Linked DNA regions of Stegostoma tigrinum. The protein of the gene in region 2 purifies or fractionates together with the protein of the main gene of each other region. This does not show direct contact. Links are inferred from orthologs where the notes say so. Each region holds a gene or a part of one and is shown on either strand. Other genes may lie near its edges.

Region 1 (7,936 bases), on a different chromosome or scaffold from region 2:
TGGAGAACTTTTTTTTTGAAGCAAAAAGGTGCTGTAATCAGAAACATACTGCTCGAAAGAAGAGAAAGCAAATTCAAAAGGAACTTTCAAAAGAGGATTTGAAAAGGAAACCATGCAAGCTAATAGGAAAAGAAATCTATAGATATTTCAAACTGTCAGCAGTACGCAAAGGGCTGAATGGCCTCCTTGCATCATTGCGATTGGACTTTTTCTACACATCTTGTGTTCCACCAAAACCAGAGGGCTGTACAGGCCAGAATTTTGACGCTGCACCCGTAATACTGAGGGGAAAGTTTCATCTCTCCCAGCCTTTTGACCTAAGACCTCACAGGACAGATAGGGGACGTCACAAGGCACCTCCCTGAAGGGAGGCAACAATCTTCAATTTTTCTGACCAATATCTATCGCTCATTCAGCACCAAAGTCACAGGATCTGCTCATTCACCTCATTCCGAGAATCCTGTTGTGTATAGATCAAATACTGCAGTTCCAACATACAATACAGGCTACATTTCAAACAAAAGGCCCTGACTCGTTGTAAAACACTTGGGGGATGTCCTGACATTACCAAATATATTCTATAAATGCACTTTCTTCCTGCCAGTACAACTTTAAGTACATTTAAGTCATCATTGGACAAGAATATGGATGTACATGGAATAGTGTAGGTTAGATGGGCGTCAGATCGGTATGACAGGTCGGCACATCGAGGGCCGAAGGACCTGTACTGTGTTGTAATGTTCTATATATTTCCACAGATCTCTTCCCAAAACAGTTCAATTGACTGTTAGCAGTGAGGCTATAAAGTGAGGAATACACTTGTCATACACTGAGTATGGCTACTGAATATTATCCACCTGATGGGGAACCCATCTCTACCGTGACGTACAATAGAATATTTTAATTCTATTTGGAACTCGGTAACAAACAGTCTTATTTCAGTCAGTTCCAACCAGACATTATCAAACTCTGCCAGCTCTTCACCCCTGGTCTGGAAGATACACTGAATGAGAAAGCAGTAAACTACACAGGCCAGGAAGATCAGAGGTTCATTGTGCAATAGGCAATCAGCTACTGTCTGGGAGATGGGGAAAAACCAAGAAATCAGGGCAAATTCTGCAGTTTGCTTTTTTGTACTTACTTGCCAGTGCCATTAACTAGAGGAATAAAGAGTTATAGGGAGAGCAGTGGTGGATTTTGTTCAGACTGAAAAGGAAACCCAGGTACCTTTTCCTGGAGGACACACTGTACTAATTAATGCTGCCAAGGAAGAGAAATACCAAGCCAGGCTTGTCTGTTTTGTGTCTGCTTGTAGCATTCAAACTGCTTTCCCATCCCGAGAGACTAGCTCAGTAATAGATTCAACTGACCAAAATAAAACATGTAAACATAGTGCTTCCGGCTTGACCACATTCACCCGGATAGGGGAGCAGGGTACAACAACTTTCACTTATGACTCATAAAACATCAACGCTCTTTGTTTATTTTTTAAAATGCACTGAATTGTACAAGACAATGATTCTACATCATAAACTGTACAGAGATGCTGCTACCAACAGTAACAGAAAATACTTGGGAGACAATGCACACTTCCCATGAGTTCTCTCAGAATTCAACTGAAACTACGCAACACTCCCCCTTCTCCCAAGCCTTCAACCACAACACTCACTTGTCCACAAACCATCAAACAGTTTATGAGAGCAGTCATATTGGACGCAAAGCATTAACTCTATTCCACAGTTGCTGCCAGACCTGCTGAGTTCCTCAAGTGCTTTCCATTTTTACTTCAGATCTCAAAAACTATGCATGGTCCACACACATCAAGGTACACTTGAGGTTCCACACTCACGCCCAACTGCCCCCAAACCTGCTCACTCTCTCAGTTGAGGGGTGCCCAATTCAAGACAAAAAGGGGCAGAGAACTGAGGCACAAAATCCATCAATATTATTTACAAAGGACCAAACAACACCTTCAATGTCCCATGTTCAGCTGAATCAAACATACGAGGTGGAGGACACAGGAGGGAAGCAGAGACCCCCCTCCAAATACTTAATACACTCCCAGGAAATGATATCTAAAAGGTAATGACAGAAACAAGACAGTGGCAAAATAAAGTTACAGGGAAGGGGTAAACATGGGGTACACCCCCAATACAACAACATATACGACCTTACCCCAAAACCCAGTTGGTGACAGTAAAATTAAGTTAGTGAATATAAATCACAAAACCAACCAACTTCTAGAAAATACACTGGAGAGAGAGGTTAAATGATCAGTAAGGTGTGGAGGGACTTACCTGATCAGACTCATTGACTGGAGGCAATGGTGTTCTGGTGGTCATCTCTGGACTTTGAAAGGGAGCCCGCCCACACACACACACACACACAGAGGAAACAAAAACTTTTAAATTAAAATAAAAGGGAAGGAAATCTAGAGAATATTTGCAGCGAAGAGTGTCATCCAACTGCCCCTAAAACAAACTAGTTTAAACTGATCAGCAGCAGAATGGGGGAGGGGGGGGGGAGGGGGGTTAGGGTGCGAGGTAGGTGCTGACGGGGAAGAGACTCCAGCAGAAAAGAAATCGTATAGAGGTCATTAAAATTAACAAATAAAGTTAAAATAAAAGTTCCGGCTGGGTGTTTGGGGGGGGGGGGGTGTCCGTCCTCACATTTGCGGTGATCACCGGCGGAGCTGAGGCGCAGCCAGGCTTATTCTTCACTCAAGCCCCGAGGCTTCAGGGCCTCTAGGGGCCCGGGGTGGGGGCTCTCCGCAAAGTTGTGGGGTCAGGGGTTTCGGGGCGGCGGGGGCATAAAACACGAATAAACGCCCCGGGTATTTGTATTTTACTTTCACCCGCTTCTTTCCCTCCACTACCCTCCTCCTCACCCTCCTGCCCCGGTTATTGCTATTGACAACCCCCGCCTCTCTCTCCCTCTCGGTGTCCGGCGGCGCCCGGACTTTCGCCTCTGACGAGAAAGCCGGAACCCCACTCTCCCTCTCACTGCCCGAGCCCGGCAAGATGGCCGCTTCGGCAATCCTCGGCGATTCCGCCGTCTCCTCCTCCCCACGATTCCTTACTGCCCTGCACGTCCTAACCGCTCTCGGCGATTTCCGCCATCCCGTCCTTCCCAGGGAGGGAGGGGTGTGCGCGTTCGGGAATCTTCGGTCATTTCCGGAGAAATTCTACGTCAGACGCGGGCTCCCATTTCCGGGGAGCGCCTTCGGTGCTTCTCGGCACTTTTCGGAGCCCGAGCGCAGCTTTCGGCTTGTTCCGGAGATTATCGGTCTTTTCTGCCGTCGTGGGACCCGGAGCATGCCCTTCATGTCACTACTGAAGGGGAATTGGCAAGGGATGGAGGATGGAAAGAGGGTGGCGGGAACATACAAAAAGAAACAAAAGTGCAGTTAAATGAGGAGGAGGAGAATGGTGCAGTGAGCAGGACTGGAAGGGACCGGGGATGGAGCACTTGAGAGATGTGACCCTGCAAACCCATGGGGGATATCTTGGGGTGAGGATCAGATCATTATGAGGAGGAGGAGAATGGTGCAGTGAGCAGGACTGGAAGGGACCGGGGATGGAGCACTTGAGAGATGTGACCCTGCAAACCCATCGGGGATATCTTGGGGTGAGGATCAGATCATTATCTCCAGCCTTAGCAGTCCACTGCTATTATAGCTCAGTTTGTAACACAGAATGATGCCAACAATGTGGGTTCAATTCTTACACCGGTTTGAGGTTGCCATGAAGAATTCTCCTCCTTACTGTTTCCCTCTGGAGTGGCATGGTGGCTTAGTGGTTAGCACTGCTGCCTCACAGCACCAGGTATGCTGGTTTGATTCCACCCTTTGGTGACTGTCTGTGTGGAGTTTGCACATTCTCCCAGTGTATGTGTGAGTTTCCTCTGGGTGCTCCAGTTTCCTCCCACAGTCCAAAAATTTGCAAGTTAGGGTGGATTGACCATGTTAAATTGCCCATAGTGTGCAGGTTAGGTACATGGGAAATGTTGGGTTCTGGAGATTGGATGGGATGTTGTTTGGAGGGGTGCTGTGGCCCTGATGGCCTACTTCTGCACTGCAAGGTTTATAAAAGTTCACCAGCAGTTGTGTATCTCTCTGTCTGCAATGGGACAGCTGCTGAATGACTTCATCTTTCTTATCAGATTGAATAGACAGTTTGGTCTCCTCTTGGAACAGAATGAATCAGAAAAGCGTTTCAGGTCCTCAGATGTCCCTTACAGCCAATGAAGTACTTTTTGAAGTATGATCTCTTTTGTAGTGTAAGAAAACTGGCAGCAAATTTATGCACAGCAAGATCTCACAAATGGCAATCTGCCCATGGCCAGATCAACCGTTTTAATTACAGTATTAAAAAGTTGGATGTTGACTCCAGCTGCTTCATAAATGGCCTTGCCTCCACCCGGACAGAAGTAAGTATGTTCACTGATGATTTCACAAAATTCAACTTTCTTGACTCCTCAGAAACTGAAGCAATCCACATCCAAATGCAACTAGAACTGGACAATTTACAGTTGTTAATTGGCAAGTAATATTCATGCCACACAACTGCCAGGCAATGACCATCTTCAATAAGAGAGTATCAAACCATTCCCTCTTGACGTTCAATGTTATGACCATCTCTGTATCTCTTATTCTAAACATCCTGATCAGAATGAGCCCTATAAATACCATGGCTACAAGCGCTAGTAAGAAGCTACCAATCATGCAGAGTTGCTGGGTTAAAACCCACTCCCTGACAGCAATGCGGGTGTCCCACATCACAAGGACTGCAGTGGATCAAGAAGGCAACTCACCACCACCTTCTCAAGGGACAACTTGGGATGGACAATAAATCCTGGCCAGCCAGCAATGTCCACATCTTATGAATGAATTAATTAAAAGAATAGAATTTATAGAGGCAGAAGTAAACTGGGACCTAGTCCCTTCTGCAAGCAAAAGTCGAAAGCACATTGCCATTTGAGAATGGGTACTATATACAAATCAGCTAATTCTTTGGCGTACAATACAGCCAGGAGGGTAACCAGATAACTGCTTCATGGGTTGTGTCATGAGAAAAGGTTTATCTTTCAATATCAATCAATTTGTTAAGTGTCCTCATCATTGGCCGGGCTGAAATTGGTAACTTTTGACACTCAGCCGATCTCTCACTGCAATCAGGTAGGAGCTACTGTTCTCTGCTCTGAATGCTGTTTGCTGTTGTCTTTGAAGTCTGAATTTTTGAGGATGTGGTCTGTTTCAGGAAGGATCACCAGGGCCCACAGCATAACTGCAGGCCTAGAATGTGTCATCAGGGACAACTGAAATTTTACACAGGACAGTTATAAATATAGAATCTGTTATTCTTCTCACAAGTGGGAAATATTAAATGTTCGGCATTTATCTTTGTTTAAATCTTATGTGTACGCATACTATCCAGTACTCCAATTCTTTGTAACACTTTTTCATTCAAAATTGAGAATGGAACCCAGATATAAACTGTTGGATGTAGCAATGAAGTTGTTCACTTGGCGAATAAATGGCAAATTTCTAATTTGGCTGTTCTTAATCCCATCAACACCATGGGCTAAACAGTTATAAAATCAACAGAACTGGACACAGCCACATGCAATGTGCAAATAATGTGTTAAAGATTGATTCGAGTGCACTTGTAATGCAGTGGTAACGTCCCTATCTCTGAACAAGGAGTCACGCTGTATAGTTCAACTTGTCCATGCTGACCACATATTCCTAAATAAATCTAGTCCCATTTGCCAACATTGGCCCACTTCCCTTTAAACCCTTCCTATTCATTTACACATCCAGATGCCTTTTAAATGCTGTAACTGTACCAGACCCCATCACTTCCTCTGGCAGCTCGTTCCATACACACAACACCCTCCATGTGAAAAAGGGCCTCCTTAGGGCCCTTTTAAATCTTTCCCCTCTCACCTTAAATATATGCCCCTCTAGTTTTGGACTTACCTACCCTCGGCTATTTTACTCTATCCATGCCCCTCATGATTTTATATCATTTCTATAAGGTCACAGTCCCATCTGCTACAGAGGTCTGTAACAACATTGCTGAACAGCTTGATTAGAAGATAAAACTAAAAATTGATTTTAGTGTACTTGTAGTTCAATGCTATGTCTCTACCTCTGAGCCAAGGAGACCCAGGTTCAAGAGTCTGTAGGCGCGAGGCTGGAAAAGCACAGCTGGTCAGACAGCATCTAAGGAGGAGATAAGTCAATGTTTCAGACCAAAATCTTTCATCAGGACTGAGGAGGGGGAGGAGATCCCAGAAATGAAGGGAGGGTGATGATGCTGGGGGAAGGGTAGGATAGATTAGTGATAGGTGGATGCAGGTAGGGGGCTATTGTGATTGGTCCGTGGGAAAGGTGGAATGGATAGGTGAGTAGAAGATGGACAGGTTAGGTCAGGTCAGGAGGGGTAGAGCTGGATATGTGATATGGCTGGGAGAACTGAGTCTTCGTTTGGTCTCCCCAATAAAGGGGAGGCCACATCGGGTACAATGGATGCAATAGATAAGGTTGGATGAAGTGCAGGTGAATCCCTGCTGGATCTGGAAGGATTGTTTTGGACCTTGAATGGAGGTGAGAGGGGAGATGTGGGGGCAGGTGTTAATCTCCTGCAGCTGCAGGGAAAGGTACTGGGTGTGTTAGAGGAATTGGTGAGGTGTATAGAGCTGATGAGGGGATCACGGAATGAATGGTCCCTGTGGACAGAGGAGGGGAGGGAAATAACATTTTGGTGGTGGGGTCTGAATGTAGGTGGCGGAAATTTTGGAGGGTGATGCAATGGCCTTAACATTGACTTCACCAGCCAGAAAATCCCTCCAACCCCAGCCTCAGTCCCTATCCAGACCTCCACCTCCTGACCTGACCTAACCTGTCCACCTTCCTACTCACCAACTCTCCCCTTTCCCACAGACCAACCACAATACCCCACCACCTGCACCTACATATCACCATCTCTCCTACACTTCCTCCACTCCCACCGCCTCCCTCTACTTATTTCTGGGCTCCGCCTCCCAAGTCTGACCTGCTGCGCTTTTCCAGCCTCACCTTTAAACTGTGGCTTCCAGCATCTATAGTCCTTACTGTCTCCAAGACTCAGGTTCAAGTCCCATCTGCTCCAGAGGTGTGTAATAACATCATGGAACTGCTTAATTAGAAAGTATAAAATTGATTCTATACCTTCAAAGACTTTCCAGATTTCAAATAATCCACTGACGCACCATCAAGAAGGCCACAAATTTCACTCATTTGTGTCTCCAAATAAGATTTTATTTTTAACTCCAGTTACTTGACAAATATATGCCAAACCTTCATTAGTCATTGATCAGGTTGTAGCATGATGACTGTGTCAAATTGCAGGTTTAACATAGAAAGGATGGCCCACTCCCTGTAAACGCAGACCCACTCCCAGGGAGTCCTCCAGTAAATGCAAACCCTCTCCTAGGAAGCTTCCCAGTAAAAATCAGCCCAGTCCTGGGAATCTCCCTGGAAGTGTGATGTAGGGCAATGTACACTGTCTCAGTGTGATGTAGGGCAATGTACACTGTCTCAGCATGAGGTTAGGCTGTGTACGCTGTCTCAGTGTGAGGTGAGTTTGTATCTACGTACAACAAGAAATAATTGATTTTAGCTGATGATAAGGTGGGTGTAGGGAAGATTATTGTTCTTCTGGGATAATGCAGGATGAAGGGCAACTATTTAAAAATCAGCAATTGCCCATCTAAGGCAGAGATGAAGAGAAATATTTTCTGTCAAAGGTTCATGTGTTTTTTCAACTCTCTTCTTCAAAAGTCAATGGAAGCAGACACTTTAAATATTTGTAAGGAAGAGAAGAATAGAACTTTGATAAGCAAGGTTGCGAGAGTTTATCTGGAGTTGGTGGAAATGTGCAGGAATCAGATC
Region 2 (7,369 bases):
CTGCAGCAATTCAACAAGGCTCTCTATACAGTATCCAACATCACCATCAACTGGAAGGACAAGGGCAAATGTTTCAATGGAAACACAGCCAGTCGCAATTCCCCTCCAAGCCAAAGACCATCTTGATTTCATAGAATCAAAACATGTTATGGTGTAGAACAGGCTATTTAGCCAATCATCTCTGCACTAGCTCTTCAAAGGAGCATCATTACTTGGTATGCTAATAAACATAACACAGCATGGAGCTGCAGGAGCACAGCAGGCCAGGCAGCATCAAAGGAGCAGGTGAGGACCCTTCTTCAGAAATGGGAGAAGGGAAGAGGGCTCTGAAATAAATAGAGAGGGGGGTTTTGGGCTGGGAAAGGTAGGTGGGATGGTCACTGCAGGTAGGTAGTAGTGGGGATTGTTAAGTGAGGTGGGAGTTGCAGATCGGTAGGAGAGAAAATGGACAGGTTGAGTCAGGTCAAGGAGCGGGGCGGGGGGTAGGGTGGTGAAGAAATGAAGAAGGGTCTAGGCCCGAAACGTCAGCCTTTCCTGCTCCTATGATGCTGCTTGGCCTGCTGTGTTCATCCAGCCCTTGTTATCTGAGCTTTTCCAATAACTTTGTTTTTGTTGCACCGTTTGCAACATGCACACATTGGGTGTCCCCATTAGGATGAGGGTCTGCGCGTATGTGTGTGCCTCACCATTCATTCCAACATTCAAAAAATGCTCATTATGTAAAACTACCTCCAACTGCTTTTTTTTGCTCAAGGCCCTCCTTCAGAGAGAAAAAAACCACCCAAAATGCTTATTATTTATCCGCCCGGCAACCGCTATCTTTTAAGAAGCGAGTCAGAAAAGTGGTTATCCAACCAGAGCTCTGTGACGCTCTCTTCACAGCCAGCCCTCAATCCGCCAGACATCTCCCGTTGGCTCATTTCGAATCTGTGTGAATGTGACAGGATAAATGGTTCTCTTTGAAACCAGACCCCGCAGCGTTAAAAATAAACAGAAGCGCCGAGTGGAGGGGCAGAGCGAAGCACACTACTCATGAACTCTATTTCTCACCGAACTGTATTCTCAGCAGATTAAAACAAAACACTTTGCCCCCCCCCCCGACAAATATTTTACAGCCTGCAAGCAACGCTCCGACATTATTGTAAAATAATGAAGAGGATTCCGTTCTAATCAAACTGAGGACGGAGAGATCCCAAATGAATGGGTCTTCTGAACAAAATAAGATGTGTACCGTATGTATCATTAAAAACGGCACCAAATTTAAACTTGCAATTGGCGATCATATATGAGGGAATCTTCAACTAAAGCGGACCAAATTTAAGATTGAGATCATTTATCATAATTTTTTCTTTAAAAAAGGACGAAATTTAAAACTGTAATTGGGCATCGTATACGAGGGAAGAATATTCAATTTAAAAAGGGAGTAAATTTAAGATCATGATTGGCAGATCGTACGTCTTCGTTTGGAAAGGGACGAGATTTAAAACTACTGTCGTTGAGGATCATACATCTTAAAAATAATTAGCGGACTAAGCTCAAAATCAGGAACAAAAACAAAGCTGCTGGAAAAGCTCAGCGGGTCTGGCAGCTTCTGTGAAGGGGAAAACAGAGCTGAGATTTCGGGTCTGTTGACCCTTCCTCAGAACTCCAGATCATGTTCAAGTCGAAGTGGGGAAATCATGAAGGGGACGGTTAGTGGTAACACTGAAGGAACTAAAAGGCAAAACGCAATCATATAAAATAAACATATCAAATAATCTTAGTGACACCGGAGAGATAAATGCAATAATCAAATGTTATAAATGGGAGGGTTTTGGTGGTAAGAAATGATGTAGGAGAGAGGAGACACAGAAAGGTAATGTTAGCGGCAGTGAGCACTGTCACTATCTCTGTCTCACCTTAAGATAGTCGTTTTCCGAGCGGAGCTCCTCAATCTCTCTGAGCAGCTCCTGGTGCAGCGACCTCCCAGCGCTTTCCTGAGTCTCAGCGGCCGGGCCGGAGAGCTTACCAGCCCGCGGCTCTTGCCTGGCTTGGGCGGCCCTGGGCCCGTGTTCCCCGTCAGTGCCATTGCCGCCTTTACCCGGGGACGGGCGCTGCTGCTGCTCGGGGGTAAGCGGCGCTCCGGCGGCTGCCTGCTGCTGGCTCTCTCGGCATCTCCTCCCGTTCTCGGCGTCGCTGGAGCCGGTACCGGACTCGGCGTCGCTGGTGGTGGCCAGCTCCCCGGGGGCCGGCCGCTGCTCGTCGGACAGAGGCTCGGAAGCGCAGTCGGACAGATCGGAGCTGCTGTCGGTGTGGCTGGTCTTGGCGAGGGGAGACGGGGCCGGAGCCTGGGTCGCTGTCGTTGGTGACAGCCCGGGGCTGGGCTCGATCAGGAGGCATTTCTTGACTTTTCTGAGCTGGTGCTGTGGCTCCTGATGGTGGTGTCTGCCTTTCTCCTGGTGTCCCTTGGAGTTGGAAAGCCTCTTGGCTAAGTGGGGGGCGGACAGAGGAGACTTGGCAGAGGGGACACCCGCTTTCCCCCCGGCCGAGGCTTTGTCCTTAGTGCCCCCCAGGACTCCGCTCCTCCGGGTGAGTCGGCTGTGAGCAGCCAACTGCAGCCCGGGGACCTGTTGCTGATGTGGGGGCTGCAGCTGAGGTTTGGAGAGAGGAAGGGTCGGGGACGAAGGCGGCGGCAAAACCCCGGGTTTGGGAGGCAGGCAGAGCTTAGCAGCGGAGGACGCTCGGCAGTGAAGATCCTTCAGGGGTCTGGCCGGGGAAGGAGCTCTATTCAACCGCTTCTTCTCCACGCACTGCTGCTGTTGCTGCCGGATCTCAGGGCTCCCATTGACCGTCTCCATCCCCTCTTAAGATCCTGCAGTCTCCGCCGAGCAGCCTTGCAAAAACACACCGGCTACCCCTCTCTCCCTTTCTGTGGGCATCACTCCTCCTTCAGTTATTGTGATTCTCACCCCCACCTCCCCTCTCAAGCCCGGATCCAATTGTATTTAAAACCCGGCACACACCAGCCCAGAAATTTGCAAATGGAAATGAATGGCCATTTCCTTGCCCTCTCTATTTCCCCCGATCCTGGTGCCTAATGTAGCGAAATCTCTCCCTTTCTCTGCTTATGGGTTTAGGTTTCCTCCATAGCTGGCTTTCCCCCTCTCCCCCCTTTTCCTTCCTCCTCCCCGCCCCCCCGTCTCTCTCTGCTCCCGACCTGATTAAGACGGAGAGAGAGAAAAAAATAAAAAAAAGCTGCAGCCTCGCCTGACGGCAGTAGCTGAACGCATGCGTGTCTATCCAAGCCAGACCCCTCTGTGTAAAGCGGGTATCAGCAGCCAGATCTGATGTAGTAAACACAGGCAGCAGTTTTGCATCGCTGTGCGTGCGTTTAAATCCAAGGAACAAACCGCTTGCTGTTTATATGCGTGAAACTGAATCTTGAATATTTTGTTTGTTGCAGGAGAGCCGTCTATGGTTTGTTTTGATAAGAGCCATCATTAAGGGCAGCCAATCATTCCAGGATTAATTAAAATTGATCTGCAAGCCACTTGCAATTCAGGAGAGAGAGAGAAAAAAAATCACATTTTAAAGAAATAATTTTTAACACATTTTTTGAACGCCCTCCCTTTTACCCTGGGCAATTTAAATCCCTCAGTTACGGTCACAATGACAGGTTCTCTGCGCGAGTTTGTTCTCTGCAAACTCACATCCTGGGTTCCCACGTTGTATTGGTTACTGCTCTCCAAAAATACTTTGTTGGACACCAATGAGTTGCCAGTGGTCGTGAATTAGCCCTATGTAGATGCATAAGACCACGGCAGAAGTAAGCCATTCAGCCCATCGAGTACATTCCGCTATACGCTGAGATCACGGTTGATCTGGAAATCCTCAACTCCATTTTCCTGCCTTTTATCCCATAACCCCCGATTCCTGCACTGAATTTTTTAAAAAAGGGTTTCTGAGACTTGAGCATACCTAATCTCGACCTTGGATACACTTCAGTTCTTTATATAAAGCAGGAAATTATACAATGCCCCAAGAATACCCACAACAAGAGTCTGCAACTGTAACCATGTGATGGGGTACATTTGATGGCTCCTGACAATAGCCAGGGGACCATGATGAATGATTAAACCACACCCTTTCAAAGTGAGGCAGGCAGTATCATGCTATCCAATAATTACCAGGCTTGCAATGTTCAGACAGGCGGAATCCTTTCATTCTCCTGCTGATGAGCTTCTCAACACGTAGGGTAGAGTTCACACACAGTGCCTGCAAAGTGACCTGCGTGCAAAGACAGTCTGAAGGGAGGTGTATGGTTGTTGTCGAGGTTCATGCCCACAGTTCCATAATGCAAAGCTCTTGTGCTGTCCATGCTGTTCCCAGGTCACACATCGTGACAATCATCCATTGTGCCCCGAGGATCATCAACTCCGCGAAAAATGCTCTTTGATCTGCCTAAAACTTGCTGATTTTCTGGAGCAAACACTCATCCTCAAATGAGTGCTGCAGACTGATCTAAGGATCTAGCACCAGTCGTTAGCACTGCTGCCTCACATTGCCAGGGACCTGGGCTGCACTCTACCCTCAGGTAACTGTCTGTGTGAAGTTTGTACATTCTCCCCGTGTCTGTGTGGGTTTCTGCTGGGTGCTCCAATTTCCTCTCACAGTCCAAAGATGCGCAGTTTAGGTAGATTGGCTGTGCTAAATTGCCCATAGTGTCCAAGGATACGTGAGTTAGATGGTTTAGCCATGGGAACTGCAGGGTTATGGGACAAGAATGGGTGGGATTGGCAGTATGGGCTTGGTGGTCTGAATGGCCTGCTCCCACACTGTAGGGATACAATGAGCACTAAAGCTTTTGGCAGCTGCAAGAGAGGTGCAATGGGGAAAGGTCCACATTACCTATACGTTTCAGCCATGGTACCTAGAGCAGCTAAAAACTGTAAAATCCCTCAGGCTGCGTGCCTTATAAGGAATATAAATTGAATATCAAAGGTACCAATACAACCTCAGGTCCAAGAATAGGCATCTCTAAAGTTAAATAAGCAACAGACAGAGTTTGATCAACCTTCCTATATTTACTGACTGTTGAAAAGCAGTTCCTCCATCCTCAAGCAACTGTCTCCATAACAACTTCAGGATCTTCTTATTCTACAAGTCTCTTGGAAAAGTCAAATGTTTAAGCCTTCTTTGTAAACACATCTGGCCATAATACAACAAAAAAACTAGCAAGCTCTAACTCACTTAAATTTGAAACCAAGTCTCTGCATTTTTAATCCTTAAGATGGCCCATAATGGAGAGTTGGGTGCTTGCTTTTAATCTGCATGGACTCAATGGGCTGAAGGGTCTTTTTCTACACTTCAATGTTTCTGTAAATATTACATTACTGCTTAACTGAATCTTAAGTACCATTGTGGGATTTGCACTGGGGTCCCAGTCAGGGCTGTGGATTACTAGAAATGTGACATTACCACATTGTCACACCCAAGTACTTTTAAAATGATCGGAGATAATGGGAACTGCAGATGCTGGAGAATCCAAGATAACAAAGTGTGTGGCTGGATGAACACAGCAGGCCAAGCAGCATCTTAAGATGCTGCTTGGCCTGCTGTGTTCATCCAGCCCCACACTTTGTAATCTTACTTTTAAAGTGAGATTACTATTGTAGTGTAGGAAACACAACAGACAGTCTGAACACTGCAATTTCCTGCAAAGACCAATGTGGTAATAAACATATTTGTAAAATATTTGTTCCGGGGCTGTAAGCACAACAATAAATGCACTCGTTCTGAGTAACTTGCTCGGCTATTTCAGAGGGCAGTTAAGAGTCAGCCACATTGCTGTGGGTCTGAAGTCACATGTAAGCCAGACTAGGTAAGGACAGTAGATTTTCTTCCCCAAGACATGTCAGTGAGCCAGGTGGGTTTTTGTGAAAATTGGCAAATGCTACAAGGTTGCCATTATATAAGCTATTTTTGATTCCAAAATATTTAAAATTGAGGTCAAATTTAAACATCTGCCAACGCAGGCTTCAAACCGATATCTACAGAACATTAGTCTGGGACTGTGGATAACCAGTCCACTGCCAATGTTGGTTGAGGGATAAATATTGGCCAAAACACTGGGAAGCACTTCCTAGCTCTTCTTCAAAATAGCAGGACCATGTTGAGGACACCCAGAAGACCAGGAAGACAAAACCTTCATTTCAACCTCTTGTCCAAAAGGCAGCATCTATAACACTCCCTCAATATTCCCTGCTGCTACGATCATTGTTCAACAGATGAAACCACAGCCTGTACCTATCCAAATTCCATGCCAGAGTTTTCAAGGTTTGTAATCTTTGTTTCTGGGACATGGTGCAGTCAACTTTATTTGTGGTTTACACTCAAAATGTCAAAACCAGACTAAATAGCTGCAAAACCCAACAGGAACTTGATATGGAGATCTAGGAGCATGTGCAGCTGAAAGATGAGGGCGCAGAATTATCTAGGTAATGTCCTCAAGTTAGGTTTTTTTAAAAGTTAATTTATTAAATTCTGCTTTGGATTTGGTGACATTTGACAATTGTGGCTCAGCTAACAGATCTCCATGCAAAGCAGATTTAGAACTCTAAGAATCTAAAACAATTTTATTTTTACACTTGTGCATATTTATACACTGATTGTAAATTGCAATGCAATGGAAAATCACATCTTAGCTGTCTGCTTTCCAATATAAACACTCAATATATTTTGAGGCCCTTTGTGTCCTTTTAGGGTCATCGTCTGAACTCCTGGAAGAAATTCACGCTGCAGTGAAATTCGCTTGTATATGCATTAAGTGTCACTTGAATACATACAAATTTCCTTTTGCTGAGTAATGGCCATTGTTGTGCTACTGCTTCATTATTAGAACAACCGTATGATTTAATTTTGTATTCATAACAAAATTAATGTTGCAAAATTTCATAATAGACTAGCATTAAATGCATGGCCAGAACAAAATTTCACAATGGACCTCCGTAGATACTTTAAATAAATAGCATACGGGGCAGGGGAGAGCAAAGTGGAGTGATATAGCTGCTGTTAAAGGTTTAGCTCACCATTGAAAAGGAGGTTGTGGTGATAAAAGGACACTGAACTAATTGTTCAAGATGGCCCAGCAGAAAAATGTGTAAAACACAAGTCCTAAGACTTAACCTGGATATACATCATGATGTTTAGCTCATCAGGTAATACATGAACATTAAATTGTGTGAAAACCATTCCTACACATTATTGCAATGGGGTTGATCTGTAAAATCCTAATGTGACACCAAGTGTGATCTCATATACCCAAGAGATTCTTTCCACGTTGGCCTTCTGTCCAATTGATAGCTCCTTCCACTGGAAGTTACAGCACTGG

The links.
Region 1: the proteins of microtubule cross-linking factor 1 (region 2) and mark2b purify together in Homo sapiens (affinity purification with mass spectrometry; 5 studies listed by BioGRID and IntAct, with this or other methods). This does not show direct contact. The link is inferred for Stegostoma tigrinum from reciprocal best matches to the Homo sapiens genes MTCL1 and MARK2.

What each region holds. Positions count from the first base shown.
Region 1 is NC_081395.1:2,404,900-2,412,835, reverse strand, and holds the start of mark2b (serine/threonine-protein kinase MARK2), read right to left. Parts: upstream 3,021-7,936; 5' UTR 2,888-3,020; exon of another isoform or gene 2,350-2,887; 5' UTR 2,343-2,349; coding exon 2,298-2,342; intron 1-2,297. Other genes in the region: dual specificity protein phosphatase 10-like, read left to right, coding at 3,021-3,346, 4,278-4,428. UniProt on the Homo sapiens protein: Serine/threonine-protein kinase. Involved in cell polarity and microtubule dynamics regulation. Phosphorylates CRTC2/TORC2, DCX, HDAC7, KIF13B, MAP2, MAP4 and RAB11FIP2. Phosphorylates the microtubule-associated protein MAPT/TAU.
Region 2 is NC_081358.1:113,967,526-113,974,894, reverse strand, and holds the start of microtubule cross-linking factor 1, read right to left. Parts: upstream 3,137-7,369; 5' UTR 2,838-3,136; coding exon 1,899-2,837; intron 1-1,898. UniProt on the Homo sapiens protein: Microtubule-associated factor involved in the late phase of epithelial polarization and microtubule dynamics regulation.